Ovis aries: one gene and its partners. The protein of the gene in region 1 interacts with the protein of each later gene in a pairwise test. Links are inferred from orthologs where the notes say so. Each region holds a gene or a part of one and is shown in the gene's direction. Other genes may lie near its edges.

Evidence for each region.
Region 2: the proteins of EGFR (region 1) and CRKL interact in binary tests that used the Homo sapiens proteins (3 or more experiments, as listed by UniProt). The link is inferred for Ovis aries from reciprocal best matches to the Homo sapiens genes EGFR and CRKL.
Region 3: the proteins of EGFR (region 1) and SOS2 interact in a protein complementation assay, tested with the Homo sapiens proteins (3 studies listed by BioGRID and IntAct, with this or other methods). The link is inferred for Ovis aries from reciprocal best matches to the Homo sapiens genes EGFR and SOS2.
Region 4: the proteins of EGFR (region 1) and RAPGEF1 interact in a protein complementation assay, tested with the Homo sapiens proteins (3 studies listed by BioGRID and IntAct, with this or other methods). The link is inferred for Ovis aries from reciprocal best matches to the Homo sapiens genes EGFR and RAPGEF1.
Region 5: the proteins of EGFR (region 1) and RUSC2 interact in a protein complementation assay, tested with the Homo sapiens proteins (2 studies listed by BioGRID and IntAct). The link is inferred for Ovis aries from reciprocal best matches to the Homo sapiens genes EGFR and RUSC2.
Region 6: the proteins of EGFR (region 1) and MAPK8IP2 interact in binary tests that used the Homo sapiens proteins (3 or more experiments, as listed by UniProt). The link is inferred for Ovis aries from reciprocal best matches to the Homo sapiens genes EGFR and MAPK8IP2.
Region 7: the proteins of EGFR (region 1) and SOCS6 interact in a protein complementation assay, tested with the Homo sapiens proteins (3 studies listed by BioGRID and IntAct, with this or other methods). The link is inferred for Ovis aries from reciprocal best matches to the Homo sapiens genes EGFR and SOCS6.

The regions. Positions count from the first base shown.
Region 1 is NC_056072.1:941,938-945,437, reverse strand, and holds part of EGFR (epidermal growth factor receptor), read left to right. Parts: intron 1-881; coding exon 882-1,023; intron 1,024-2,263; coding exon 2,264-2,380; intron 2,381-3,500. UniProt on the Homo sapiens protein: Receptor tyrosine kinase binding ligands of the EGF family and activating several signaling cascades to convert extracellular cues into appropriate cellular responses.
Region 2 is NC_056070.1:72,322,475-72,326,447, forward strand, and holds the start of CRKL (crk-like protein), read left to right. Parts: upstream 1-1,173; 5' UTR 1,174-1,575; coding exon 1,576-1,886; intron 1,887-3,973. UniProt on the Homo sapiens protein: May mediate the transduction of intracellular signals.
Region 3 is NC_056060.1:41,394,667-41,398,869, reverse strand, and holds the start of SOS2 (son of sevenless homolog 2), read left to right. Parts: upstream 1-1,403; 5' UTR 1,404-2,031; coding exon 2,032-2,118; intron 2,119-4,203.
Region 4 is NC_056056.1:5,218,886-5,221,322, forward strand, and holds part of RAPGEF1 (rap guanine nucleotide exchange factor 1), read left to right. Parts: intron 1-670; coding exon 671-768; intron 769-1,786; coding exon 1,787-1,915; intron 1,916-2,044; coding exon 2,045-2,195; 3' UTR 2,196-2,437. UniProt on the Homo sapiens protein: Guanine nucleotide-releasing protein that binds to SH3 domain of CRK and GRB2/ASH. Transduces signals from CRK to activate RAS. Involved in cell branching and adhesion mediated by BCAR1-CRK-RAPGEF1 signaling and activation of RAP1.
Region 5 is NC_056055.1:52,991,245-52,995,348, reverse strand, and holds the start of RUSC2 (AP-4 complex accessory subunit RUSC2), read left to right. Parts: upstream 1-1,304; 5' UTR 1,305-1,612; intron 1,613-1,826; exon of another isoform or gene 1,827-2,356; intron 2,357-4,104. UniProt on the Homo sapiens protein: Associates with the adapter-like complex 4 (AP-4) and may therefore play a role in vesicular trafficking of proteins at the trans-Golgi network.
Region 6 is NC_056056.1:225,855,917-225,859,416, forward strand, and holds the end of MAPK8IP2 (C-Jun-amino-terminal kinase-interacting protein 2), read left to right. Parts: intron 1-2,197; coding exon 2,198-2,296; intron 2,297-2,663; coding exon 2,664-2,736; 3' UTR 2,737-3,367; downstream 3,368-3,500. UniProt on the Homo sapiens protein: The JNK-interacting protein (JIP) group of scaffold proteins selectively mediates JNK signaling by aggregating specific components of the MAPK cascade to form a functional JNK signaling module.
Region 7 is NC_056076.1:7,272,947-7,277,004, reverse strand, and holds the start of SOCS6 (suppressor of cytokine signaling 6), read left to right. Parts: upstream 1-1,258; 5' UTR 1,259-1,354; intron 1,355-1,612; exon of another isoform or gene 1,613-1,813; intron 1,814-4,058. UniProt on the Homo sapiens protein: SOCS family proteins form part of a classical negative feedback system that regulates cytokine signal transduction.

The DNA.
Region 1 (3,500 bases):
GCAGCGACCCCTAAAAGGTAGTTAGGCGATTCACCCCTGAAGTGAAGTTAGGCGATCACACTGATCCTCAGGGGCAGGACAGCTGGACCCCCTAAAGCCTCTGCTCTTTCCGCTTGGCTCAGAAGCTTTCTGCTGATTCCCCACCCCATGAGGGTGCTGAAGGCCTCACTGTAGTCCCTGTGACTGCGGAAAGCTTGACCAAGTTCTAGCGTCACTATGGGCCATTGGTGCCACACGGCTGATTATGGGTACCTTGTGTGTCCCGAGACCCCAGGACAGGCAGACAGGGTCCCAAAGTCAGCACTGAGTGAGTTCCAAACTGGGAGACTCACCTTGAGTGGGACCCGGAAGAGTCTATAGTTTTTAGGAACAGGGAAACTAATGTTCCAGAGGCTGGAGGGGCCCTGGGCTTTGGACCCCCTGGTCTGAGGCAATTCTGCCAGGCTGCTGGAGGGAGGCAACACCAGGCTCTTGGTCAGGACCCCTCTGTGTGTGGTCTGATTCTCTCTGCACAACAGCCCCCAGTCAAAGTTCTCTGTGTTTGGTAATAAATTCAAAAATGTATCCTCAAGTGTGGTTTAGGAGGGAAATCAGACTTAAGTTAAGCTGAATAATTTCACTCTAGAATTACTACTCTAGAGTGTGAACTCCTGCCTTATTTTGAAAGTTAAGAGATGTGTTTTTCGCTCCTCATAATCTCCTCAAAACTATTACAGCTAGAACAGTGTATTTAAGAAAAACCATGCTTTGAAGAAAACAGTCTTTCTGCCCCTGTTGAGAGTGCTTTTCTAGTCGTCTGCTCTGACCAAACACCTGGACACAGAGGGCTGTGGCCCCACTCGCCATGGAGTCTGACAATCACACCACCCCTCCCATGGCAGGTCTGCCGCAGGTTCCGTGATGAAGCCACCTGCAAGGACACATGTCCGCCGCTCATGCTCTATGACCCTACCACCTACGAAATGAAGGTCAACCCGCTGGGGAAATACAGCTTTGGCGCCACCTGTGTCAAGAAGTGTCCCCGTGAGTGTCCCTTGTGAGCCCCTTCATTGCCAGGTACCTGTTTTCTCTCTGTCTCCTGCTGAGGTTCCCATATCCCCCACTCAGGGATCCTTGGGTCCCTGTATTCATTTCGGTATCAGGCAGGTGATTTCAGTATCATTTCAGCATCATTTCAGTATCAGGCTGACCCTATCACCTTGGCTGACCCCAAGTTGGTTCTTGTGTCTTGAGCCCAGCCATGGTTGCCCAGAACATTCCATGGTCTGATTGGCACAGACCTATGGCCGTTGGGCCGTTTCCCTGTTTGGCTCTTGTACTCGGCAGGTGTTTATAAGGCCTAAATGAGAGAGAGGTCAGAAGACTGGCCTCCTTTAGTGGTTAACAACCTGGGCATGTTTGTGCCGCTAGGAGCACAGAAGAGAGCTTTTTGCTTGTCGATTGGCTTTGTTTAATTGTTGGGCCTTGGGTTTTGCTTATTTTGTGCTTTACAGGAGACTCTAGTATTTAGGGAAACGGCAACATGAGTGATTTCATAGGAGAGGAAGTGATTTTCAAGAGGGAAGATTAACTAAAAAATATATATATATTTTTAAGAACAATTATGACAGGGAGATTTACAGTACCAGACTTGTGAACATGAAATTTTAAAAGTTTGGAATGACAACAACAACAACAACAAAAAATACTCCACAAAAAGTCATTGTTAGGTAAATGGCAAGATACAGAAAACTTTGCCACAACTGTGACCCAGATATAATCTTTGAGAGAATTTGAAAGCTACAGGAAACCACTCAGAGCCTCAGAGAACATAAGCAGACAGTTTACAGAAAGAAAGTGACAAACATCCAGTAAACGCCCAGAGAAACATCCAGTGGTTCGAGGATCCACTTGGGGAAGTCAAAAGACACAGAGAGAGTTCCTGAAAAGTTTATTACTAACACAAGTTACTTCTCCCTGAGTGAGGCCCGAGGCAGAGTGTGGACCCCGTCGCCCACGGAGACCCGAGGGAATGAGGGTGGCCGAGAGAAGAGTGGCCTTTGTTTTGGGTCACTTTTTTAAATAAATACGAAGCTTTCAGCATCGTAACCAGAGAGCAGCAGCCTGATGGGGAGGCCATGAACACCTTGAACCCCATTCCTCCCTGTTTGCAGCTTTTCCTTCTTGTCCTTAAAGCAAACAGAACCAGAGGGTCAGCCGCCATCCAGGGTCACTATGCCCAGAACACCTGGTGCCCCTCTCACTGCCTTCTCATTGTCCCCAGGGAACTACGTGGTGACAGATCACGGCTCGTGCGTCCGCGCCTGCAGCTCTGACAGCCAGGAGGTAGAGGAAGATGGTGTCCGCAAGTGCAAAAAGTGCGACGGGCCTTGTGCCAAAGGTGGGAAGCTGCCCGGCGTGGGCACAGGGCCCTCTCTGCTTCCAGTCACGGCTAGGCTCCCTGCCCCCAGACCCTCAGCGTCATCCTCAGACCAGATCTGAGGGAGTCTCCAAGCGCAGAAACATGTTCCTTCCTTTCTGCTGTGCGCTATCCCTGGGGTGTCTCCAGTGCCAACGTATCCCTTCTTATCCTGCACTTTATCTTTTATCTTGACATTTTTCAAACACCCAGAAACACTGCAAAATAGTGTAATGAACACCCATATGCCCTGAACTCGAGCTCATCAGTTTTCCGTAATCACCACGTTGTTCTCACTCCGTGTTTGTGTCTCTGTGTGTGTTTTCTGAGTCCTGTGATGACTACAGGTATTATAACACTTCACCCTGCATTGGCTTTTTGTACAAACGGGACATTCTCCCAAGTAACAAAAGACAATTTCACTCTTATCCCATGTTTAACATTGATTCTAGTTTTCAGTTTAATTTCAACTCCCCTGTTATCCCAGTATATCCTTTTTAGCTGCTTTTCAATCAAGAGTCCAGGCTCTTCATTAATTCAAGATCGTTTCTCAGCCCTCTTTTCTCTGATGCTGTGAAGAGTCAAGGCCAGCTGCTCTGACCGCCCCTGTCTGGCCGGGTCATATTTTCAGCGGGGCGCGACACAGATGGAGTGCTGCAGGTAGAGAGTGTCCCACCAGAGGTGCACAGCTCTCATCTCATTACCTCTGTGGCTTCTCTGGCTCAGGGGTAAAGAATCTGCCTGCAATGCATGAGACCTGGATTCGATCACTGGGTCAGCAAGATTCCTTGGAGAAGAAAGTGGTAACCCTCTCCAGGATTCTTGCCTGGAGAATTCCATGGACAGGGGAGCCTGGGTTACAGTCCATGGGGTTGCAAAGAGTTGGACATGACTGAGTGACTAAACCACCTCGATGGCAGAACCGATGGTTCGCCTGAAGTTGCATTCCTTGGTGGTTGTAAGAGTGACTTCCTATTTCTGTCATTTCTTTTATATTTACTAGTGGACATTCTGTTTCTAAAATAGCTTTCTTAGTACCCATGTGAGCTCACTGAACCCTTTTTTATTCAGTTTATGATAGTCCCTCCTCACATTATTCACT
Region 2 (3,973 bases), on another chromosome or scaffold:
AAGCTGTACACCTTAAACTTGTACAGTGCTGTATGTCAACTATCTCTCTATAAAACTGAAAGAAAAATTAATATTAGAAGATGAAAAAAATATGACAAGGAATGATACAGTCAACTGGTAAGTCAGGTTAGGATTGGAACTCAAGCCTTCCTCTTCAAATTCTGAGCTATTCAAATTGTGCCCGAAAGTAACACGACGCGAAAGTATTTGGAGGGAAGCTGAAAACCTGCTTTGCTGAGTCACAAAAGGCCCTAGGCCGTGACGATTCCCCTTGAGTTTACCCGGAAGGAACGTCAGCCATCACGCTGCGACAGTGGTCCCCAGCATCCTGGGCGCCAGGGACCCTTCCGTGGAAGACAGTTTTTCCTCGGGGCGGGGGATGGTTCAAGCGCATTCCTTTCACGCTGCACTTTCTTTCTGTTATTCTTACATCGGCTCCACCTCCCGTCATCAGGCACTGGGTCGCAGAAGCTGGGGACGCCTGCCCTACCTACAGTGCAGGACAGGCTCAGCCCAGCAACGAGATCGGCTCCCCAGGAGTCTAGAGCCGGGCTCCGATGCCCCTCTGGACAGGCGCCTCCACCGGCCGGCGGGGGCGGGGGCGGGGGGTCCCCGACAGTCATTCATTCCGCCCAGGTCTGAGATCAGCGTAGGGCGGGGCGAAGAAGCGCCAGGCCCAGGGCTGAACAAGGCGCACCAAACCCCGCTCCCGTGAAACGGACGGTCCGGCGCGGACGGGGGTGCGGCCAGGGGCCGGGGCTTCTGCGGCGGGGGTCCTGGGGGGGCCAAGGCGGCAAGGGCTCCGAGAGGACGCGGGAGCTTCGCCAGCCACCGCCTGAGCACCCGCGGCGGTCGGCCCCGCCACCCCCTAACCTGGCCGGCCCGGCTGCGCACGGCCCGGGGCCGCGCCCGGGGGCCGGGCCTGGCCCGCGCCGCCCGCTTTGTTCCCGGAGCGGGCTCCAGAAGCGCCGCCTCCCCGCAGCGCCCCCCGGCGGGCCCGGGAGGGAGCGCGGCGCCGCGCGCGGGCGGCGCACGCCCGCCCTCGCGATTGGCCGCGCGGCGTGACGTCACGGGGCGGCGCCGGCGGCCGCCGGGAGCGGGCGCGCGCGCGTGCGCAGTCGCGGGGCGCGGGGGGGGGCGGGGGAGGTGGCCGCCGCTGCGCCCGCGGCCGCCATTTTGTTGCTGTGGCTCTCGGGAGCGGGGCAGGGCTCGGCGGCCCCGGCGGCGCGGCGCTCCCGGGCGGTGTGCGGCTCGGCGCGGCCGCGGGGCTCGGTGCGGAGCGGCGGGGACGCGGGGCCGGCCGCGCGCCGGGGCCAGGGCTGAGCGGAGGCGCCGCGAGCCGCCCTCGCCGCGCTCGGCCGGGCCCGCGCCCGGAGCCGGCTGGGCCCGCGCGGCGGCCCCGGAGCAGGCCGGCGGCCCGGAGGATGTTGCGGGCCCGCGGCCGCGAGGAAGGCGCGGGCGCGGGCCTGTAGGCGCGCGGTGAGCCCGAGGCCCGGCCGGCGCGCAGCCGCCGCGGGCGGGGCGCCCCCAGCGCCGGCGAGAGCGGCCCGCCCGGCCCCCCGCGCGCCGCCCGCCATGTCCTCCGCCAGGTTCGACTCCTCGGACCGCTCGGCCTGGTACATGGGGCCCGTGTCCCGCCAGGAGGCGCAGACGCGGCTCCAGGGCCAGCGCCACGGCGTGTTCCTCGTCCGCGACTCGTCCACCTGCCCGGGGGACTACGTGCTGTCCGTGTCCGAGAACTCGCGGGTGTCCCACTACATCATCAACTCGCTGCCCAACCGCCGCTTCAAGATCGGGGACCAGGAGTTCGAGCACCTGCCGGCGCTGCTGGAGTTCTACAAGATCCACTACCTGGACACCACCACGCTCATCGAGCCGGCGCCCAGGTGCGCGGGGCCGCGGGGCTCGGCGCGGCGGCGCCGGCCGGGGGCGCCGTGGGTGAGGGCGGTGCGTCGGGCCCGGCAGCTCGCGCTGCGGGCGCCCAGTTGGAAAAGGGGCGCTTTCTGCCCTTCGTCGCGTCCTCGGTGCAAATTACCTGCTGAAGCAGGGCGTTGCTCCCGGTCTTGCAGCCGGTTTGGGGCCACGGGTTGAGACTCTGAAGCTAGTCTTCGGCTCCCCGCCCCGCGGGCCCCTCCCTGCCCCCCGCCCTCCCGAGTTTGCACCGCTTTCAGGGTCTCTGAGCTCCGGGGTTGGACCTCCCGGACGGCAGCCTTTGGAAACTCTAGAGATGGAAATGCCTTCGCAGGTAGAAACGAAATGCCTTTACCTGTGAAATATCAGGGCCATATATTGATAGCCTGGTGCCAGGGTTGAAATAAGCCAGGCGTCTGTTTTATAACACATTAACTGAAAATACTGTAGAAGAGGTCGGCTTGAACGAGGAATTTTTTTTTTTTAATAGATTTCCCCCAAGCTGGGCCTTTAATGGACTGGAAATCCATTTGGTTAAATTCCAAGGTGGAATGAGTCTAGACTGTTACTAAGAGGAAATTTTGAATGACACTCCACTGAAGATTCTACGCTAGTTGAATTTCAGATGTCCTTTTTGTACTGAGTTGCATGACTTAGTATCTATTTTAAAATAACCCAGAGTGACACTGAGCATTGGGCATCCCTTTTCATTTGGGCTTCATTATTGGCCTTAATATTTTGCTCGAGGCTTCTTTTGTGCAGATTATGCAAAACTTGAGCTAAAGAGATGGCGTAGGGTTTTAAAAATAAAAGGTATTGATCTTTTCAAGCGTCTGCTTAGAAAGGACAGGGTGCTAATACAGGTTTTTTTCAGGGTGAGATGGTTCTGACTTGATAGATCTGCTGACAAGATAGTAGTCTCAGCTCTGAACATGAGAAGCTGTCGTATTAAAGGGGGACGCACTGGATGCTTCTGTGGACTAGAGGTAGAGAAGAATGAAGCCCTCGCGGTGTAATGACCAGGAGGTTAACTGCTGAGCTAAATGGACTTTAAAAGCTGGGAGACAGGGATTATAAATCAGATACTGCGTAACAAAGGCCTAGCCGCGGCGAGTCTGACTGGCGAGGCCTCCAGGTCCCCGAAGAGCCTGGGAGCTAGAGGCAGCGCTCAGCACAGTGTGATTCCAGCGTGAGAGGCTGGGGGCTCTCGGCTCCCGCAGTGGTGAGGCTTCAGCTGCGTTCGCGTAACTGGCTCTTCTGGCTTGTGAAGGTGACTGAGCGCTCTCTCGGGCACTGACTGGGCCTCGCCGCGCGCCTCAGTGCAGCCGTGAGGGAGGGACTCGAGCCCCTCTGGGTGGAGAGAAAGGGGCGCGGCCCTGGCTTCCCAGTGCCCGCAGCCGCCACCCCCAGCTTTCCCTTCGTGCTGCTTCCCAGATGCCCGTCCTCACCCTCTCCCGCCGCCTCCAGGGAGCCCGCGCTACACGCCCACTCGCGCCGGAGGACCTTTGCTCGGGCCCCACCCGCCCCTCACCGGGCGCGCCTCCCTGCCCTTGGGGCCTTTCCCTGGCGCTGCCCCCGCCTCCAGTTGAGCTTTGCTGTTTCTCCGCCCGCTGCCCCGGGCGTCCCGCTGCCGTCGAGTTTTCCTTCCCCTGGTGTCTCCGAGGGCTGCCGCTGCCCCAGTTGAATGAGATCCTGGCAGGATTCACTTGGTCACACTGAACCTGGATCGCCTCTCCCGGAGCCAGAAACCCGCGGATCTGTGTGATGCGCTTATTACTCAGCTAGTGTAGAAGACAAGGCCGGGCCAGCTTTGGCCAAAGGCAAAAATCAGGGCCGTGTGCTTCCACGCCCCAGGCAGGATGGATGAAGTGGTTAGGCTCTTTCAGGCCTCAGAACCGAGCTCCTGAAGCCAGAGCTTCTGCGCTTTGGCTAATAGTTATTTTTTGGGGTTCATTTTGCTCAGTAAAAAGTGACGACTTACTGGCTTCCTCAGAATTTAAGGACTGATCTCTTTTTTTTGTTGGGGGAGTAGCTTTTTTTTTTTGGCCGTGCAGCGTGTGGG
Region 3 (4,203 bases), on another chromosome or scaffold:
TGTCTTGAGACCTGATTTGACTCAGAGAAGGCTCCTAATCTCCTTAGCCAAGAATGAAACTTCCCAGCTTCACTTTCCTATAAGAAAATACAACCCCAGTCTAATAGCTGGACAGCCTAGCAGTTTACAGCTGAAGTTCAAGAAGAGACAGAAAAGTAAAGAGGTCTAGATTAGCCAAGGCCTTTGCCCTCACTTATGGAAAGATTCTTTGGAGAGACAAGCATTTCATTATTCTACCTTTTATCCTAATTATATGGGGATGTGGATATGGCCATTCCTTTTTAAAGGAAGTATTTCTTATTTACAGTAGTTTCAGTTGTACAACATAACTCAAATTTTTAAATATATTTTGCTCTTCTTGAACTTATTACAAAATAATAGCTATATTTCCTTGCTGTACCACATATCCTTGTTACTTATCTATTTGAAAAGGTTCTTGATTCAGTGGATACTCGGATTAGAAAAATGATCTCCTAAGTTTTCCAACTCTGCCATTATGATTTTGCTAAAATGACAAAATGATGCTTGTTTTAACTGCTCTGCTACTGATTTTGAACTGATTTTGAGGCGTGGCACTGTTTTTTGGTACCTTGTTCTTCCTTTCCCTTCCTCTGGGATGTTGGCTGGCAACGATCTATTGTAATTCATGTATGTGCTCAGCATCTTTAGTGGGATGAAATTTATGCTCTCGATAAAGTTTCCAGAGTCTTCAGTTCAGGAGGGGTTAAGGTCTAGGGATCTTTTGGGGGTTGCTAGTGAGTAGGGCTGGCCCCGAGGGCGGATCCAGGTTTTGTGGGACCTGACACCTCCACACCGCCACAATTTGGAGAACACCATTAAGAAAACAATGCAAAAATATAGAAAGTTTTACCAAAACGGTATGAAATTTCTGTGAACACATAAGGCCTCGTGAAAGTGAAGGACTTTTAAGTTCAAGCTTGAATAACGCTGCCGTCTACCTTTTTTGGCCCTACTATGCGCCAAGGACTTTCCACTCCTCACCTTCTTCAGTCCCCACAACACTACGCTATGAAATAGTTACATATACAGGAGTCATGTAGAACACAAATACATTAAACATCGTGTCCAGCCTGAAAACCCCTTTCTTTCCAACTCCCTATATTGCTTCCCACGACTGGAGTTCTGAGGCTTGAGGAATGGCATCGAGTCAGGATTGTCGCGGGAAAGAGTGTGTAAAACGCAGTCAGGGAGCTAGGGAGTGTTTCTGAAACTGGCTCGCAGAGAGCGCCCTGGAGACGCGCACTCCCGAGGGAAGGCCCCCGCGCCCAGCCGGCGCCTGTGCCAGCTCTGCGGCGCGCATGCTCCGTGAGGGGCTGCTCCAGCTTCTCTGGTTAATGAGCGCGCGGCGGAGGGGGCGGGCCGAGCCGCGGCTGCTGGGACCTGAGCTTGGCGGCGGCCCTGGGGCGCTGTGCGCGGCTGCTGAAGGGGCGGCGGCGGCCGGCACTGTGCACGCAGGAGTGTGGCTTGCTCGCCCGACGCGCACGCCCGGTCGGTCCCCAGGGCCCTCTGGAGGTGACTCGGGCGGCCCGGGCAGAGCAGCGTTGCCGGTTGGGAGGGCGGAGATGAGGCGATGAGGACACGAGCTGCCGCCGCCTCTGTCCGCCTACTACGGCCGTAGTGGGAGTCGGGGCGGGGGCGAGGCCAGCTGTACCCCCGCCGGGCTGCGAACCCAGACAAAGGAGGAGCAGCAGCCTGAGAAGCGGGCCAGAGCCACCGGGAAAGGAGGCCGCCGCTTTAGTCGCAGCCGAGGGCCGCTCGGGCTCACGGGCCGCCGCGCTTCCCCTGAGGACGCTGCGCGAGGCGAGGTCTCGGGGCCGAGGAAGCCGCCCCCGGAGCCCCCGCCCGCCCGCCGGCGCCGCCTCCGAGCCGCCTCGGCCGTAGCCGCGGCCCGGGCGGGAGGCGGCGGCGGCCGGTGAGGCTAGGCGGCCCGCGCCCTGCCTGTCAGATCACCGGTCCGGCCCGTTTCGGCCCGCGGGCTGCCCCCGATGCGGAGGCGCTGCCGCCGGGGCCATGCAGCAGGCGCCGCAGCCTTACGAGTTCTACAGCGAAGAGAACAGTCCGAAATGGCGGGGACTGTTGGTCTCGGCCCTGCGGAAGGTCAGTGCTGGTGCCCGGGCGGCCTCGGGGCCCGAGGGAGGTGCCGGGGCCGAGGCAGGCGGGCGGGGCGCGAGCCACGGCCCGAGCCGCGGCCCCTTGGACGCTCTAACGGGGAGCTGCACGCCTTCCTCGCGCTCGGCGCCGGAGGGCCCAGCGCTTTCTCTCCGGCCGGCGACGAGGGGCTTGTGATTGCCTTTGCGTCCCAAAGGACGTTTTCTCAAGTTATTGCCTGGCCCCGGAAGGAAGGTTTTGTTATGATCATAAAACTGGATTTCATGTTGCAGTCGTTTCGTCAGGCGACTTCCGCCGTTGACCAATTTGTTGTCCTCGGGCTGGATTCGGGCAAGAGAAAGTCCCGCTGGTATTTAGACAGTTTCTAAAACAAAAGCACGTTTCTAGGCCGAGTAATCACTTTTAATTAAATTCTTTGGGGCTGTTCCCTTAGGCAGTTTGAAGGGTGAAGGGTGTCCACTCACTTAAGAGGTTGTAATTTTTTTTTTTTTGGTGATGGATGTGTTTCTCGATTGAGAAATGTCAGTGAGGCATGATATTGATTTTACAATTCTTGAGGTCAATTTAAAGTGCCTCCACCCTTCCTGCCATAGGCGTCCCCCTGTTTAGGAGAGATTTCCCCTGTAAAATTTGGTCATTTTCTTCACTGAGTGCAATTTATTACTTAGAATCATTTTAAGGGGATGAAAAACTCTCAGCTCATGAAAAATCAATCTTTTTAGTTTGGGTACATCGCTAGGGTGCATCTGTCCTGTAGATGATGTCAGTTTTCCTCTGAATTTAGTTAATAATGGTACTATTTTTTTAATATGTAATAATCATAGGTTTTTATAGTAAAGCCTTTTGTAAGGTCAAGACGTTTAAAGAGTGTAAATGGGGGCAGAAGAAGATAAACATACTGAGCATGGGCTTTCCTTGCCATTGATACAGATGTAGTTCCTATTACCTTTTGTGCAAAATAACCAAATATAAATTTTAAAATAATAAGGAATAAATGTTAATTTAAAATACTACTCCGGAAAATAAATCTTCATACATTAAATTTCTCTAAGTGAAAAGAAGTAGTAGTATTTTGAAGTAAAAAACATTCTCTCACGTATTCAAGTTTCAGATTTGCCGTTTTTTCACGATTCTTAGGACGAGGTATTGCCTTCCTTGGGCCAAACGTGTAATATTTTTTAAAGAATTTGGTGGAGATGGTTAAGAGCAGCTAGACAGTTATCATTTCGCAGGTATTTTAGGTGTTAAAGTATTACATTGACCTTCCTTCCGTGGGCAACCCGATTCTATAAGGAGAGGGAAGGAAATGGCAAGTGTGCTGCTGAGTGGTGACAATGAACACTGGCCTGAGTTAAAAGCAAAGAGGGAAATGCTCAGATAGTGATTGAACCTTCTACCACATAGACAGAAATGTGAATGCAATTATCAGGTAGGCCTATGTTGTTGGCAGCGTAGGTCTCTTACTAGTATTTTCTGGTAGCAAATAGAATTTGAGTATGTGTTGCATAACTTTTTCAATAGGTAGCTTTGACCCTAATAATCCTTCATGCACAGATACAGATGTATATCTTCAGGTTAGTCTGGAAATAAACCCAGGGTAGCATCCGATCCTAGTTCTTTGCTTTGAGTCTGTTATTTTGCATTTATATGTTGTGCTTGTTTTCTTGGTTCTCAGATGCCGTGTAGCTCTCTATTGCCTTATTGCACAGTTCTTGTTTGTCCTTTGCTTATGGAATATATACAGCTAAGGAAATCTGGCCTTTTGAGCTGAATTAAAAAAACAATTTTTATTTAACTTATTACATTACTGCTTTTCTAGAATTGAGGTATATTCCCATGGAACACTTTTTTTTTAAATGTTGTTGCAGATTTTTTGATGTTTGTAATTCCAGATTATCTCCAGTTTTGTGGTCGTGCAGCACGTAGGTTTATAGTGCTTGCTAGATTTGTAGTTCTTGAGGAGTTCAAGGTTCACTCTGCAGATGAGTTAAATTCTGGTCTATACTTGGCACACGTGACCTTGTACAGTGAGAATTCCTGCTACTTAGGCAGAGGCTCTGTCATCACATTCAA
Region 4 (2,437 bases), on another chromosome or scaffold:
GCTGCTGAGCAAACGTGACTGAGTGGCCCAGCCCACCCTGGGATCCGGGAGGCCCCGAGGAGGTGCTGGTCACCCTGAGACCAGAGTAGGCGCGTCCTGGGAAGGGAGGGGAATTCCCATCAGAGGGGACAGAGGCCAGTGTGGCCACATCACAGGAGTCCTGGGGCACCCTCATCCTGGCGTGAGAGCTATTCCTGGGGAAGGGAGGCAAGGCCCACAGGGCTAGGTGTTGGCCAGGCTCCCTGGGAGTCGTCTCCCGACAATATAAAGGGACAGTTATGAAACAGTGGTGTCTGGAGAAGTGGGACATTCCCCCCAGCTGCTCCAGAAACACATAAGAGGGCCTGAGAAGGCAGGGAAGGCTTCCTGGAAGAGGTGACACGTCAAGGTGAGAGGCACGTGACAGGTGAGGGGGCACAGCCCGCCCAGCGTGCAGAGCAGCGAGGTCACCGCCCTCCCCGGTGGGCTCTGCCTTGAGTGTAGAGAGGTGGGAAGGCAGGCTCGAGGGGGGGGGGGGGGGGGGGCAGCACATCCCGGCCTGCGGCGCTGAGCACAGCCAAGCAGCAGCCCTGTGTCCATAGCAGGCCTGGCCTGCCTGCGGGGGGGGCCTGGCTCTGGGTCAGCGCTCGGCGTTGTCGCCATGCTCATGGATGGTGCCTTCTCCCGCCAGGGCTTGGCTGAGTATTGCACGCTGATCGACAGCTCGTCGTCCTTCCGCGCCTACCGGGCTGCCCTCTCGGAGGTGGAGCCGCCCTGCATCCCATACCTGTGAGTACAGCCTCCCTCGGGGTCCCTTCGCTCGCTGCCCCACGGACAAACCCGCGGGGAAAGGTTTCCAACCTGGGCGCTGTGCTTGTACCTAACTTAAAACGTGCTCCTTGTTAGACGGTGGAGATGAGCGAGGGTCCAGTGGCAAGGGCTCGCTCTGCCCACCCGCCCCGTCCCGCTGCTCCTCCACCCCGTCCCTGAGCGTGTGTGGGTGCTCGTGTGAACAGGCCTGTGGCACCGTGCTCTGCTCAGCTGCCCCGGGCCTGGCTGCACCTCACAGCAGCCCGAGGTCCCTCCAGTTTCCCCAGGGACCCTGGGAGTACCTGGCTGAGGCAGCCCTGGACAGGTGCCCCTGTGGGCTGGGACGAGGGTAGGCGTTTTCACCAAAAAGAATCCATGGCACGTGTGCTTGGGAAACAGCAGGAAAAATCAGAGCTAAGTGGGTTTCTTGTGCACGTCAGATTCCTTAGTATGGTAGCAGACAGCGGGGACTTCCAGGAGACAGACAGGAGACTCCGCAGTGACCTGAGGCCGAGTATCCAGGGGCACGTCCCTCAGGCCTGCACCCTCAGAAACGCGGCTCTTATAGCTCACAGCCCCCTCCTTGCCTCCGTCCCACCCCAGCTCTGTGGGCAGCTGCAGGCTGTGCCTTCCCCGCTGGGGGAACTGCCCCGCCCCTCGTCAGGTGGCTTCACGCCCTCTGTGTGAAAGCACGTGACCGTGCCCGATAACCCAGGGGATTGACACCCCCCCACCACCGAGTTTGGGGGTTCTGTTCTCCCATCCCTGTTACTTGCACGTGGTGGACTGTGGCTCTGCTGGGCCAGCACAGGGGTTGCGGGGCTCCCTATGTAGCAGGCAGGCCTGAGCCCACCTTTCCGGAGCCGCAGAGCCTGGGAGTCAGGAGTTCCTGCCAGAAGCAGCACAAGCACCCAGGCACGCTCGTGGAGCGCCAGCCCATAGACCTGCTGCCTTCTGAGCCGCCCCCAGGGTGCTCACCAGCTTGTCTGTCTCCCAGGGGGCTCATCCTGCAGGACCTCACCTTCGTCCACCTGGGGAACCCAGACTACATCGACGGGAAGGTGAACTTCTCCAAACGCTGGCAGCAGTTCAACATCCTGGACAGCATGCGGTGCTTCCAGCAGGCGTGAGTGTGGCCGCCCCGGGGAGCCCCGAGCTCTGGGGGCCAGCGGGGGCACGCCTGCCCCGTGCGTTCGCTGGGGCGGTGGGGGTCCCAGGGCTGTGTGGCCCTCATGGCCGCCCCCTCCTCCCCCAGGCACTATGACATCCGGAGAAACGACGACATCATCAACTTCTTCAACGACTTCAGTGACCACCTGGCCGAGGAGGCCCTGTGGGAACTCTCTCTGAAAATCAAGCCCAGGAACATCGCGAGGAGGAAGACAGACAGAGAAGAGAAGACCTAGGGGCAGCTGCCGCGGGCGAGGAGAGCGCCCGGGAGGCGCAGGGCCGCTCCGAGGCTGGAGGGGCTCGGACCTGTGCGGCGGTGGCGGCCCGGGAGGCGCAGGGCCGCTCCGAGGCTGGAGGGGCTCGGACCGGTGCGGCAGTGGCGGCCCGGGCGGGCCCCTGCCGTGCCAGACAGGCGTCCGGAGCGCGTGGCCGGCTCCATCCTGCACAGCAGCAGAACCCCCGCCATGGCGGAGCCACA
Region 5 (4,104 bases), on another chromosome or scaffold:
GGAGCAGGAAGCACATGAGTTCTGATAAAGAAAAAAATATTCATTACACTTGTTAAAGATGGTAAGGCAAACTTTATTTGCAGGGGCAGGGCAGGGGGGAGGGTAGGGAGTGGGCCGGGGATCATGGACTTGCTATAGGAACCACCGCAATGAGGTGCTGCAGTGGGGAAGAGATTGAGCTCAACTCAGATCCCAACAAAGACAAGTGATAATTTATTAGCCAAGCAGCAGGGTAGAGGTCAGTGGCTGGAAAATTACAGCCTTCATCTATTCTGGCTGCTATAATAAAACACCACAGGGACTCCACTGGTGGTCCAGTGGTTAGCCTTTGTGCTCCAAAGGCACGGGGCCGGGGTTTGGTCCTTGGTTGGGACCGAAGGTCCTGCATGCTGCGTGCCATGGCTAAAAAACACATCACACTACAGACTGGGTAGCTTATAAACAAATTTCTCAGAGTTCTAGAGCCTATAAGTCAGACCAAGGTGCCAGCCTGGCCACTAGGTGCTCTCTGGTCAGCTACTTCCCCATCTGAAGGACTGGGCTAGGGAGCTCCATGAGATATCTTCTGTGACGCTACTAATCCTAATCATGCAAGATCCTCATGACCTAATCACCTCTCAAAGGCCCCCCCTACTAATGTCTGGGGGTTAGGATTTCAACATAAGAATTTTGGAGGGACATGAGCATAGCAACTACTAAGAAGAAACATCAGAGGAAAGGGGGATTCTTGGTAGATCAACTCAACAGAATTCTTGCTGAAAGCAGGCCAAGGTGATAAATACCAAGGACGGTCAGATATCAAGAGCAGAGAATTTCCAATAAACTGATTTAATAGGATTCTTGCTTAAACTGCATTCTACAAGGACAAAGAGGGAAGCCCAAAGTCAAGCCTGGTCCAGGGCCGACTCAGAAGAACCTGATTAAATTTTTGGCCAAAGGAGACAGTCTTTGTTCCGTTCTAGACTTTACCAGGCTTATTCATCCTGGCTATGCTGGAGTGCTTTTAAAAATATCAAGGCTGGGCACCACCCAACCCCTACTCCACCCTACCCGTGCTTCTGGGTCAATTGGTCTCTGCTGAGGTCAGGCTTTAGTTTTGTTTTGCTGTTTTTCCCAAGAGGTTCTACTGCGGTGTCAGGCAGAGAATCGCTCCGTTAGGCGATGGCGGATGCGCAAATGCACCTGCCTTCCACACGCCAGTTAAGCCGCGCGCGAGGATTTTCTGGGTTCCAGCACAGCCCAGCCACTTAGCCGGCACCACCCCGACGGGGCGGGGCACAGGCCGCAGAAGGCGGGGCCACGGCAGAAGCGCCGCGGCTCCACTCTCGGGAAAGCACTGCGCGTGACTCGCCGCGCTCAATGCAGAGGGTGCCAGGAGGTGGCCGAGCACCCCCACTGGCACAGCGGGCCGAACGACGGGCCATCCCAAGGGGCGGCATGAGGGCATTTCAGATCGGACCATCGGCGCCACAGCTGCAGGGGAGGACCGGGCGTTACCAAGCTGTCTGAGAGAAGGGGGACGACTGCTTGTCCCGGCTGCAACGCGGCCCCTGCAGGGCGCGAGACGCTGCCGCTTCCTGCGCGGTAGGACCACGCCGAGGCGAGAAACCAGGTAGGACGCGTCTTTGGGGCAGGCGAGGTCCCGGAGATCCGCTGTCCTCGCGTTCCAAATGATCCCTTGGGAGAAAGGCCCTCAGTTTGCTCACCTATCCAGTCCTTAGCGCGCACTCCCTTCCCTTCAGCCCTTCCCCCTCGTCCCGTCAGCCCCACCCTTCGGTCTTGCTTGACCCTCTGGACCAACCTCATCTTCAGTCCTATCCTTTCAGTTCCGCCATCCACTGAATCCTCAGTCACCCAGGACAAGCTATCATTTGGGGCATCACCGCAGATCCACCCTAACCGTCTCCTCAAACTGTCCCTTGGAGACACCCCCTCAGCTGACTCGCGCCCAGGGGTCATCGTTGTCCCCACATCTCCTGTGACGGCCGTGGAGGAGCGCGCGTGGCCGCTCAGCACCCAGCCCGGCGACTGCGGCGGGAGTCCTCTGCACGCCGGGTCGTTTGCACCCTCCGCCCCTTTGGCCCCTGGTTCCCACCTTGATGCCTGTTTGAGCTGGGCTGGGATTGCTCTCTCACATCCAGTTTTACCTTGGGAAAACCTGTGGCCTGGCATTTTGCCAGCCCCCTGCTACCACACTTACCTGCTGCAAAGGGTACCGTGATCCTGTTGCCCAGGGCTGCCTTGGGATGCCAGGCTGGCCCTGAGGACACCAGGGGGCTGCCCTGGAGGCAAGGACCGTACACGATTCGTTTGTATCTCCAGTGCCCAGCACAGTGTCTGGCACATGGTAGACTCGGTAAATATTTGATGAGTGAGTGAATGAATGAAACCAGTGCAGAGGCTGTGAGGCAGTGTTTCATGGGAAGACGTGTCACCAGTTACATGAATGGGGGGAAAACGAAGGGCGTCTGGGGATTACTTGCGGTGCTCATGGTGGGAGCATAAAACTGAACATACTCAGTCTCTCGGTTCATGCATCTAATTTCATTTACATAGAAGCTTCTTTTTATTAGCTGTTTTACCTTTATGTTATGCTTACCAAAAAGAAAAAATTAAGGTCCAAGGCTGCAGAAATTTTTATTGGTCAGTCCTTCAGTGGCTGCCCAGATAATCTTTAAAGAGCTTTACCCAGGTGACCCCCCTCCTCTTGCCCTAGAGACTATCTGCTCCCTCTAGGGAAAAATTGTGGAGGCTAGCTACATCCTTCAAACCTGATTCAGTGTACCTGATCAGCTGGTGCTTCAGGACAGGTTGGAGGAATGACCTCAGTTACTTTACCCTTTTAATTCTTGGATACCTCCCCTCCCTCCTCCTCTCCACTGGAGAGGGGAGACATCCCAGCCTGGCCTAGTATTAGACTTATCAAAGATTCCTAAATACTACTATAGTATGATCAGGCCATATGAGCCATTTATATCTCAGGAGACCAGCATCAGGCAGGGATTACCACTATCTGTATAGTGTCAGTAATAAACAAGAACACAGGCCTTTTAAAGATGGAATTCTCAAAGAACAGAGCCTGAAATCTGTTTTTGTTGATTCCTAAGAGGATGACATGAACAGATTCAAGTTTCTGAAGCTAAGACGGGGTTCGGCGATCTCAGTTTTGGCCCAGGGTCCGTGGGGAAATAGATGATACTGCTGACTGATGAAACAATGGCTGGAAAGCTGCAGGAGTTTATAAGTAGTTGCCTGACTACTAGAGGCATTATGGTCACCGGGGCTCAGAGTACTGTTGTTGTTCAGTCACTAAGTTGTGTCTGACTCTTTGCGACCCCATGAACTGTAGCACACCAGGCTTCCCTGTCCTTCACTATCTCCCTGAGCTTGCTCAAACTCATATCCATTGAGTCAGTGATTCCATCCAACCATCTCATCCTCTGTGACCGCCTTCTCCTCTTGCCCTCAATCTTTCCCAGCATCAGGGTCTTTTCCAATGAGTCAGCTCTTGGCATCAAGTGGCCAAAGTATTGGAGCTTCAGCATCAGTCCTTCCAATGAATATTCTGGGTTGATTTCCTTTAGGATTGACTGGTTTGATCTCGTTGCTGTCTACTCCAGAGTCTACTCCAGCACCACAGTTCGAAAGTGTCAGTTCAGAGTATTAGTAGGTAAAAACTGTGACTAGAGTTTCTTGAGGGGCTCCGTGGAAATTACTAATGGTAATGGTTTCAGGGAATTGGGAGATCGCACCGCTGTCTCTGGTGTTCTGCTATGCCAGTCCCTCCTCACTCACATATGTGCTCAGTCATGTTCGACTCTGCGTGTCCCTCCTACTGTATGGCTGTAGGGCATTTACCATCATTGTTTCTCTTCTGCTCTGAGCCAGGTCAAAATCTGAATTCCTCTGATTTTTATGTTAAGTGTCTAAGGTCCCTTTTTGAGGCCAGTCCTTCCTGACTGGGAGCTGAGTATGCTCTCACTCATTTCTAGCTTTGGTTTATCCTTCTCTACTTTTTCTTTCTCCCATTCTCTGACTTTGTAACTTTAGAAAGTAAGTCTTGGATCACAGATACTCAAAGCAGGAAGGGGCTCCTGAGCAGAA
Region 6 (3,500 bases), on another chromosome or scaffold:
GGGTGGGTCTTCTTGGCATGGAGCCAGCTGAGCCAGGGCCAGGGGTGAGAGGCACTAGGGGGTCTTTAGGGGAGCCAGATGAGGCAGGAGGGACGCGGAGGACCTGTGCCCTTCTGACCCTGCCGAGGAGCTTGTAGTTAACCCCATCGGCAGTGGGGTGGTGGGTGATGCCGTCAGGCTGACCAGCTGGCTCTGCCTACTGTGCAAGCGGAAGGACCCAAGTGCTGCTGGCCAGAGCCAGGAGGTGCGGGGCCCTCCAAGTGGCGTGTCCGGGCGGGTTTTGGGAGGTGGGACAGGCAGGCCTGAGCTGACTGGATGTAGAGACCAGTCTGCAGGGAGAATCAGGTGACCTGGCTGTTGAGCGGTTGGTGGCCCACACAGCAACGGGCCTGGCAGGCCGGCTGTGCAGTCTTCAGTTGCAGACGTGGTGGGGTTGTGGTGTCCGTTGTTACTGGGGTCTGGAGGATGGAAGAGAGACCTCGGGGCAGGTATGTTTTGGAGCAGGCGGATAACTTCGGCCATGAGGCAGACAAGATGGCCAGGCCGAGAGAGAGGAGGTGGGAGTGAGAGCAGCGGCGTACCCGGCGGGTGGAGGCCGGCCGTCCTGCCCAGCTGGACTCTGCGCCGTGCCGGTGAGGCGAGCCGTGCGGCACAGTGCTGTGTGCCCCAGAGGAGGTGATGGGGGCTGAGCCTCGAGGCACACGGAGCCCTGCCGGGGCCCGGAGGTGCTGCTGGTATTTGAGGCCGCAGGTCCTCAAGGGAGGCAGACCGTGAGAAGCACACTCTGTTCCCGGGGTTGAGGTCGGGTGTGTGCCGTTTGCACGCTTGTGGTGAGACTGGGGGCGCACTGTCTGCTGACTGGGCAGTGGTTTCCACCCTTAGCAGGGCAGAGCCCCGTCTGGCTGCTTCTCCATTGAGAGGAAGCTGATTTGACGGGCTGGAGATCTGGGTAGGGGACCGGGGCTCAGACCAGGCCATGGGGTGGACTGTGCCGTGAGGACCGGCGTGCACGGCAGCCATGTGGACGGTGGCCTTGAGAGAGAAGGATGGCAGAGGGAGACGGGGCGCCACAGGCTCGGGCCCCCAGGCCAGACCCTGACCGTGTGCAGCTCCGAGGTTCGCCGGCCAGGAAGGGACCGAGGAGCTGCTGTCCCGGCCCCGAGCTTCCTGATATTCGCTGCTCCAGAGCCCAGCCCAGGCCCCTCAGGGAGGAGGCACAGGGAGACGGTGCCTGGTAGCTCAGGGGTGAGGTTGGCCTCTGCTGGGTGCCTGGGGTCTGGACAAGGGAGGAGTGAGTGGTGGCTGTGATCACAGGCGGTAGAGAGCGTGCCCAGGGTGCTGCAGGCTTGCTGTCTGTCCGCGGTGTGTGTTTGACCCTTTCTGGGCCTTGGTGCCGTCCCCTTGAGACCAGCCTCACCGCACTGTTGTGAGGTTTCTGCCGGTTATTAATGAAAAGAGCTTGCTTAGGCCGGTGCCTGGCCCTTGCTCCGAATCCAGTCATCTGAGCGTGGCGCTCGAGACAAGGCCCACACACGCATGCTGTGCTGGCGATGACGCTGTCCTGTGGGCTCCCGTCTGGAGGAGCCACAAAGCCCTGACCCCCCAGCATGGACGGGACGGGCCACAGCTGGGTGAGGGTCCCGAGCCTCCTGAGGCTGGCCGCTGACAGGCCCTCCCTCTGGACAGTAGTTTTTGTTGATGTCTTGCTGAGAAGAAGGGCAGGTTCAGGAAAGCCACACAGGGAACAGAGCTGGGCCCCCGGAGCTGGGGTACAAGCTTCTCCTCCAGGAGGACTCTTGTGCACATCAGGGCCCACGTCAAGCCCACAGCGGAGCCTGAAAAGTACTGTGGGTGTGCAGGACCAGAGGTGGAGCTGGGCAGGCTCCAGGCCTCAGGGGAAGGACGGGGCGGGGTCACCCGGGACGCCCAGCAGACTGGGGAGAGACCACCTCGCCGTGCGGCCTGGGGGCAGGCTCCGGGCGCTGGCTCGGGAGGAAGAAGATGCAGCTGGACACCCTTGTAGACACATTAACAAAGATCGCTAACTCCTCATGGTGCCCAGCACTGTGCTCCTGGACAGAGATCATGTGACCTGCACACTCCCCAGCCCTGCCCGCCCTGCACCCTGTGCTCTGACCCGGGGGCCGGTGCTCCATGCCCTGACACCCCTGTGCGCTTGCTGCCCCACCCCCCACAGCTATTTTGGCTTCATCACCAAACACCCGCTGCTGAGCCGCTTTGCCTGCCACGTCTTTGTCTCCCAGGAGTCGATGAGGCCCGTGGCCCAGAGTGTGGGGTGAGTGGGTCTGGAGGGTGGGCCAGTGCACATGATGGCCAGGACCGGGACGGGGTGCTGGCCTGGTGCCCTGGCGCACGCAGCTGCGGGGAGGGTGGGGATGAGGTTTGGGAGGCGTGGGGGCGGGGGGGGTCAGATGGCAGCGGAGGGTGTCAAGGGGCCTGGGCGGGTGGTCCTCGGCGGGTGGTCCTCAGTGTGGGAGCGGCATTCCACGGGGTGGGGGGGGTGGGGGTAGGGAAGGCCACACTGGACCCAGACAATGAGGAGCCAGGTCCGGGTCAGGAGGCTGAGGGCTGAAGCTGGGGCAGTGTGGCGGGCCTGGGTGGGGCCGTGGGGCCCCGGGCCTGAGGATGCTCTCCCCCTGAAGCCGCGCCTTCCTGGAGTACTACCAGCAGCACCTGGAGTATGCCTGCCCCACAGAGGACATCTACCTGGAGTAGCTGCCCCGCTCTCCTGCCCCGGGAGCAGCCAGGGCTGGGGCCACCTCAGGAGGCTGCCTCAGCTTCGGCAAGGACTGGACTGGGGGCCCGTGGGGCCTGACACCTGGGGGGCCGCGGGCTGTGCGGGATTGCGCATCCTCGCCCGGGGGGGCCCTGCGCCTCTGCCCCCCACGCGTCCCCCTGCCACCTGGGGCTGCCCGCAGCCCCCCCAAACCCCGTCTGTCTCTGCTCCTCTGTGCTGCGAACTCTCACCCTCTGCTCTTCACTGTGGGGTCGGAACTGGGAGGTGCGTGGGGAGGAAGCTCCCAGGTGACCCCTCTTGCTCGTCCCCCGTGATTTATAAAGGAGTTTTAATTTTTATAGTGAATATCAAGGGATCGTCCTGTCCTCATCATGGGGACAAAGAGAGGGCCCCCCATACTGCCCCACTTGGCTCTCGGGGGACACAGGGAGGGGTTCCCCAGGAGGGCCTTGGTGGGGACTAGGAGTCGTCCCTGATGCTCACCCTGAGTCCCAGACGCTGCTAGGAGGAGGGGGCCCTGGCCTGGGCCCCAACCACACCAGCATCTGCTTTGCCGCTGCAAACACTCCCCGCAGTCCAGCACCTCAATAAACTTTCTGCTTGGTGTGACCCTGGCTATTTCTGGGGTGAGGGAAGCAGATACAGGGCTGGGGACCAGGTGCTGCCCACAGCAGCGGGGGCCGAGGGGCCAGGGTGCTGGAGCTGCTGTCTGAAGCTCTGCCGGGCTCCCGGTGTGGTGTGT
Region 7 (4,058 bases), on another chromosome or scaffold:
CAGCCAGCCCACTGCCACCTTCATGCTCATCAGCCCTGCTCTCTGGCCTCCAACTGCTGGCCTTCTTCAGACCAGCTAAGGAAACACCAGTCCGATTTCCAGTCTGTCCCACGTCTTCTCTTTCTGAACGGGCTTACCACAAGGGGGGTGGGTTGAAAAGTTTGTTTCATCTCTGTTGTTGTTCAGTGGCTCAGTCGTGTCTGACTCTTCTCGACCTCGTGGACTGCAGCAGGCTTCCCTGTCCTTCACTCTTTCTCAGGGTTTGTTCAAACTCATGTCCATTGAGTCGGTGATGCCATCCAACCATCTCATCCTCTGTCCTGTTTCATCTCTAATTAATAAGTACTATTTTCACTAACCTGACTGGTCTATTTCAGTCAACATTCACTGTGATTGGACATCTGAGAACTGAGTTGCATTTAAGTCAGATTAACAATAATAATAGGAGTTTATTTTTACTTATTTTTTGGCCTCTCTCTGGGCATGTGGGGCTATTAGTTCGCAGATCACGGATGAAATCTGCACCCCTTGCAATGCAAGCAGGGAGTCTTAACCAGTGGACCACCAGGGAAGACCCTGCAGGAATTTAACAACAAATTGAAATGAGAGCTAAAGACGACAGCGGTCTGGTGAATCACATGTAACAGATGACATCAACCTTATATATATATACTATTCAGTCATACAAACCAGCTGAATCGCCTGACAATGTAATTTTTAAATTATTAATCTAGATTTGGTGTTTAGATGAGAATTACATATTCAACATTCATAAGAATTAAGATCAATTACTTGAACTTTTAAAAAACTAACAGCTTTACCGAGGTATAACTTCGGAAAAACTTTAAGACTTTCTCCCCCTAGCCTTGTTTCCTTTGTAAAAGCTCCATGCTATTCAAGAAATACAACTTTCAAAGCCAACACTAATTCTCGTTAGACTTTAATGATACTTATCTTTAACTACTTTTCTTCGAATGAAAAGAGAAATAAAAAATAAAAAATGCTTCTCGTTGACAAAAGTCCAATTTGCTGTTAATTCTATATGCAGGTAGCAAAGAATCCACAGAGTTTGGTTCCCAAAAAGTGAGTCAAGTTACCAACACGCAACTTAACATCACGCTCCCTTGGAACTCGGCGGCACAAACAATAAACTATTTCTGCATAAAAAAACCCCACTAACAAGGACTAAAGGGAAAAGCAGATGGGCTGAAACAAGGAGTAAGTTTTTCTTTTAATCAGCACATCTTACGGTTAAGCTAGAGAAAGGTGTGGGAAGGGCCCGGCTCGGGCGCGCGCGCTCGGCCACTCTGTCCCGCCGTCCGCGGGGGCCGGGTGGTCCCGGTCACTGCGCCAGGTAAGCGGACCCTCGACCGCAGGGGACGAGGCCGGGGCCGGCGCCCGAGGGCCGAGGACACGGTCCTTCCCACGTCCGCCCGGCCGCCGCGGAGGCGAGGCTGCAAAGGCGGCGGATGAGCGGGCGGGCGGGCGCGCAGGGGCCGGGGGCGCCCGGAGGGCGGGTGCGGGCGCCCGGACCCCGGCGCGCACCGGCCCCGGCCCCGCCCCGCCCCGCCGGCCCGCCCCCCGCGCCGACGCCTGCCTGCGCCGCGGGCCCAGAGGTGGGCGCGGGGCGGCCCGCTCGGCTCCTCGGCGGCGGCTCCTCTCGGGCCGGCGGCCGGCGCGCCGCTCCTGGAGGAGGCGGCGAGGCGGGAGGAAGAGGAGGAGGAAGGCGGCGGGAGGCGGAGTTGCGGGCGAGCAGGGCCGAGCGCGGCAGTCGCGCCGGCGCGGGGCGAGGACGCGGAGCGGCCGCCGCCGGGTGAGCGTCTGCGGCGCGGGGCTGGGCCGCCCGCCCGCTCCCCTCGGGCGCCGGGGGCGCCGCGGCTCCGCGGGGCGGCGCGGGGCTGCTCCGGCGCGGGCGGCCCGGGGAGCGGCCAGGGCCTCGGCGGGTCCGCGGGCGGGCTTCGGGCCGGCGGGGAGCGGCGTCCGGGAAGCCGGGCCGGGGCGCCGGGCTGGGGAGGCCCGAGGCCTGCTTCCGCCGCGCGCGCCGGCCCGACCCCGCGGCCTCTGGCCCTTCGCCGCGCGCGCCGGGCCCTGGCCGCTGCCTTTGTTGCCCGCAGCCCGGCAGGGAGAGGCCGGGGCTCGGCGAGGCCTGGGGCGGCGGCGCGGGGCCTGCGCGCTCGGACCCCGGGGCCGGCGGGCGCGCGCGGGAGGCCCGGGCCGCGGCGTGGCCGGGACCCCGGTGGGCTCCGCGCGGGGACGCGCCGCCGGACCCTCGTGGCCGTGGGCACGGGAGGACGTGAGCCCGCCCTCGGGTCCGGGCCGGGTCGCGGTGTTCGGTTCGCTTCGCGGACACCTTGGTGCCTCCCTTCTGGGTCACATCTATTGACATTTGTCCCGGGGCAGGTCCCGGCCCAGAACTTGGAACGTGTGCGGTCGTCTGCAGGCCAACTTCACGTTTAGTCGGCATGTGGAATTCGGGGTTCCCAGCCCCACTTTTTGGAACTCAGGGCCAGGTGGGAATATGGGGACAGACCTCAGGCTTCCGGTAGTGAAATATAATAATGTTGGATTCAGTTCCACGAATGTTTTCTTGAAACGTCTGCCCTGGAAAAGGAGACCTGCCACTTTACTGTGGATGAGGATGGAGAACGTAGTAATCACAGTTACGATGTGAATGAGACATAAAACGTTGCCCAAATACGTTCTTCATGGACTGCGGTCCTTGGCTGCACACATGTCTGTCATCAAACAAAAGTAAACTGCCCTCTCCTTTAAGATGAAACGGCCGAGGTGTTCCCAGCCGCAGTAGGTGTGCAGTGATCTTGACTTTTTTTTTTCTTTTTCTGGTTAAAGCAACAAATATCACAACATGAAATCTACTTAGCTTACTTGAATGAATGAGTGTTCAGTGGAATATGTAGTGCTGTGGGGAATGTTTTATTTAAAAACATGAATGGCGCTGTTTATCAAGTTTCACAGAGAAAACCTGGAAACAGCCTGTGATCTGCTTCCGGTGCGGTCTTATTCCTCAGTATTTCTGCATCAGGTAGCATGGATATGGTTAAGTTTCAGAGGCCACGCCTGCTCCAAGCAGAATATGTGACCAACCCTTTGGTTCCGACAGGGTCCCTCAGGGTTTCTTGTTGCCTTTGGGGAGGCTGTCAGACTGGCCTTGGACTTAACTAGGATTCTTAGAAGAGCTCACCTGTGACCTGACAAGTACTTTCTACCGGTCTGGATAGGATCCCCCATCTTATTCACCGAAACCTTTACCTTTTGGGGGCCTTCCTTCAGTATCTCTTTTGAAGAACTTTTTCCCCTTGTGATCTTTAAATACCTCCTGAATTGGTGGGAAGTACCTGGCACTGCCCCTTTCCCTTCTCTTACTGGGAAGGTGGGCAGGCCTTAGACATGGCCTCCCCAGGACCCAGGGGCACACCCTTGGGTGTCACCTGACACCCTCCCCTGTAGCACCTTGTCGGGGAGTGGCCCAGCAGGGGTTGAGGTGCCATTGACCTGGGCTACAGCCAACCTGGGCAGTGCCCTGGGAGGAAAACTCAGCTGTGCTGACTGGATTCCTAATCATCTCAGGCTTCTTTTAATGGCCCTCTTTTTAGGGAGCAGAAGCAAGCATCTTCTTAAAGCCTGTCTTGCTAGGTAACCATCACTCTTTAGAGAAAACTCTGGTAATTTTCTCCCTTGTGATCAGTTTTCAAGAAGCTGTTTTTTTTTTACTAGTATTTCCTTTTATTTGGCTCATGGAAGTAATCCTGTGATCTTATTTCAGAGTTATAATGTAGCTTCCCTGGTGGCTCAGATGGTAAAGATTCCGCCTGCAATGTGGAAGATCCGGGTTTGATCCCTGGGTTGGGAAGATCCCCTGGAGAAGAAAATGGCAACCCACTCCAGTGTTCTTGGCTGGGAAATCTCAGTAGTCTGGTGGGCTACTGTCCATGGGATCGCAAAGAGTTGGACACACTGAGCGACTAATACAGTACTCCAAAAAAAAGGAAACTGTCAGGATCATTTCTGAGTTTGTGTCAATACTGTTATTATTCGCT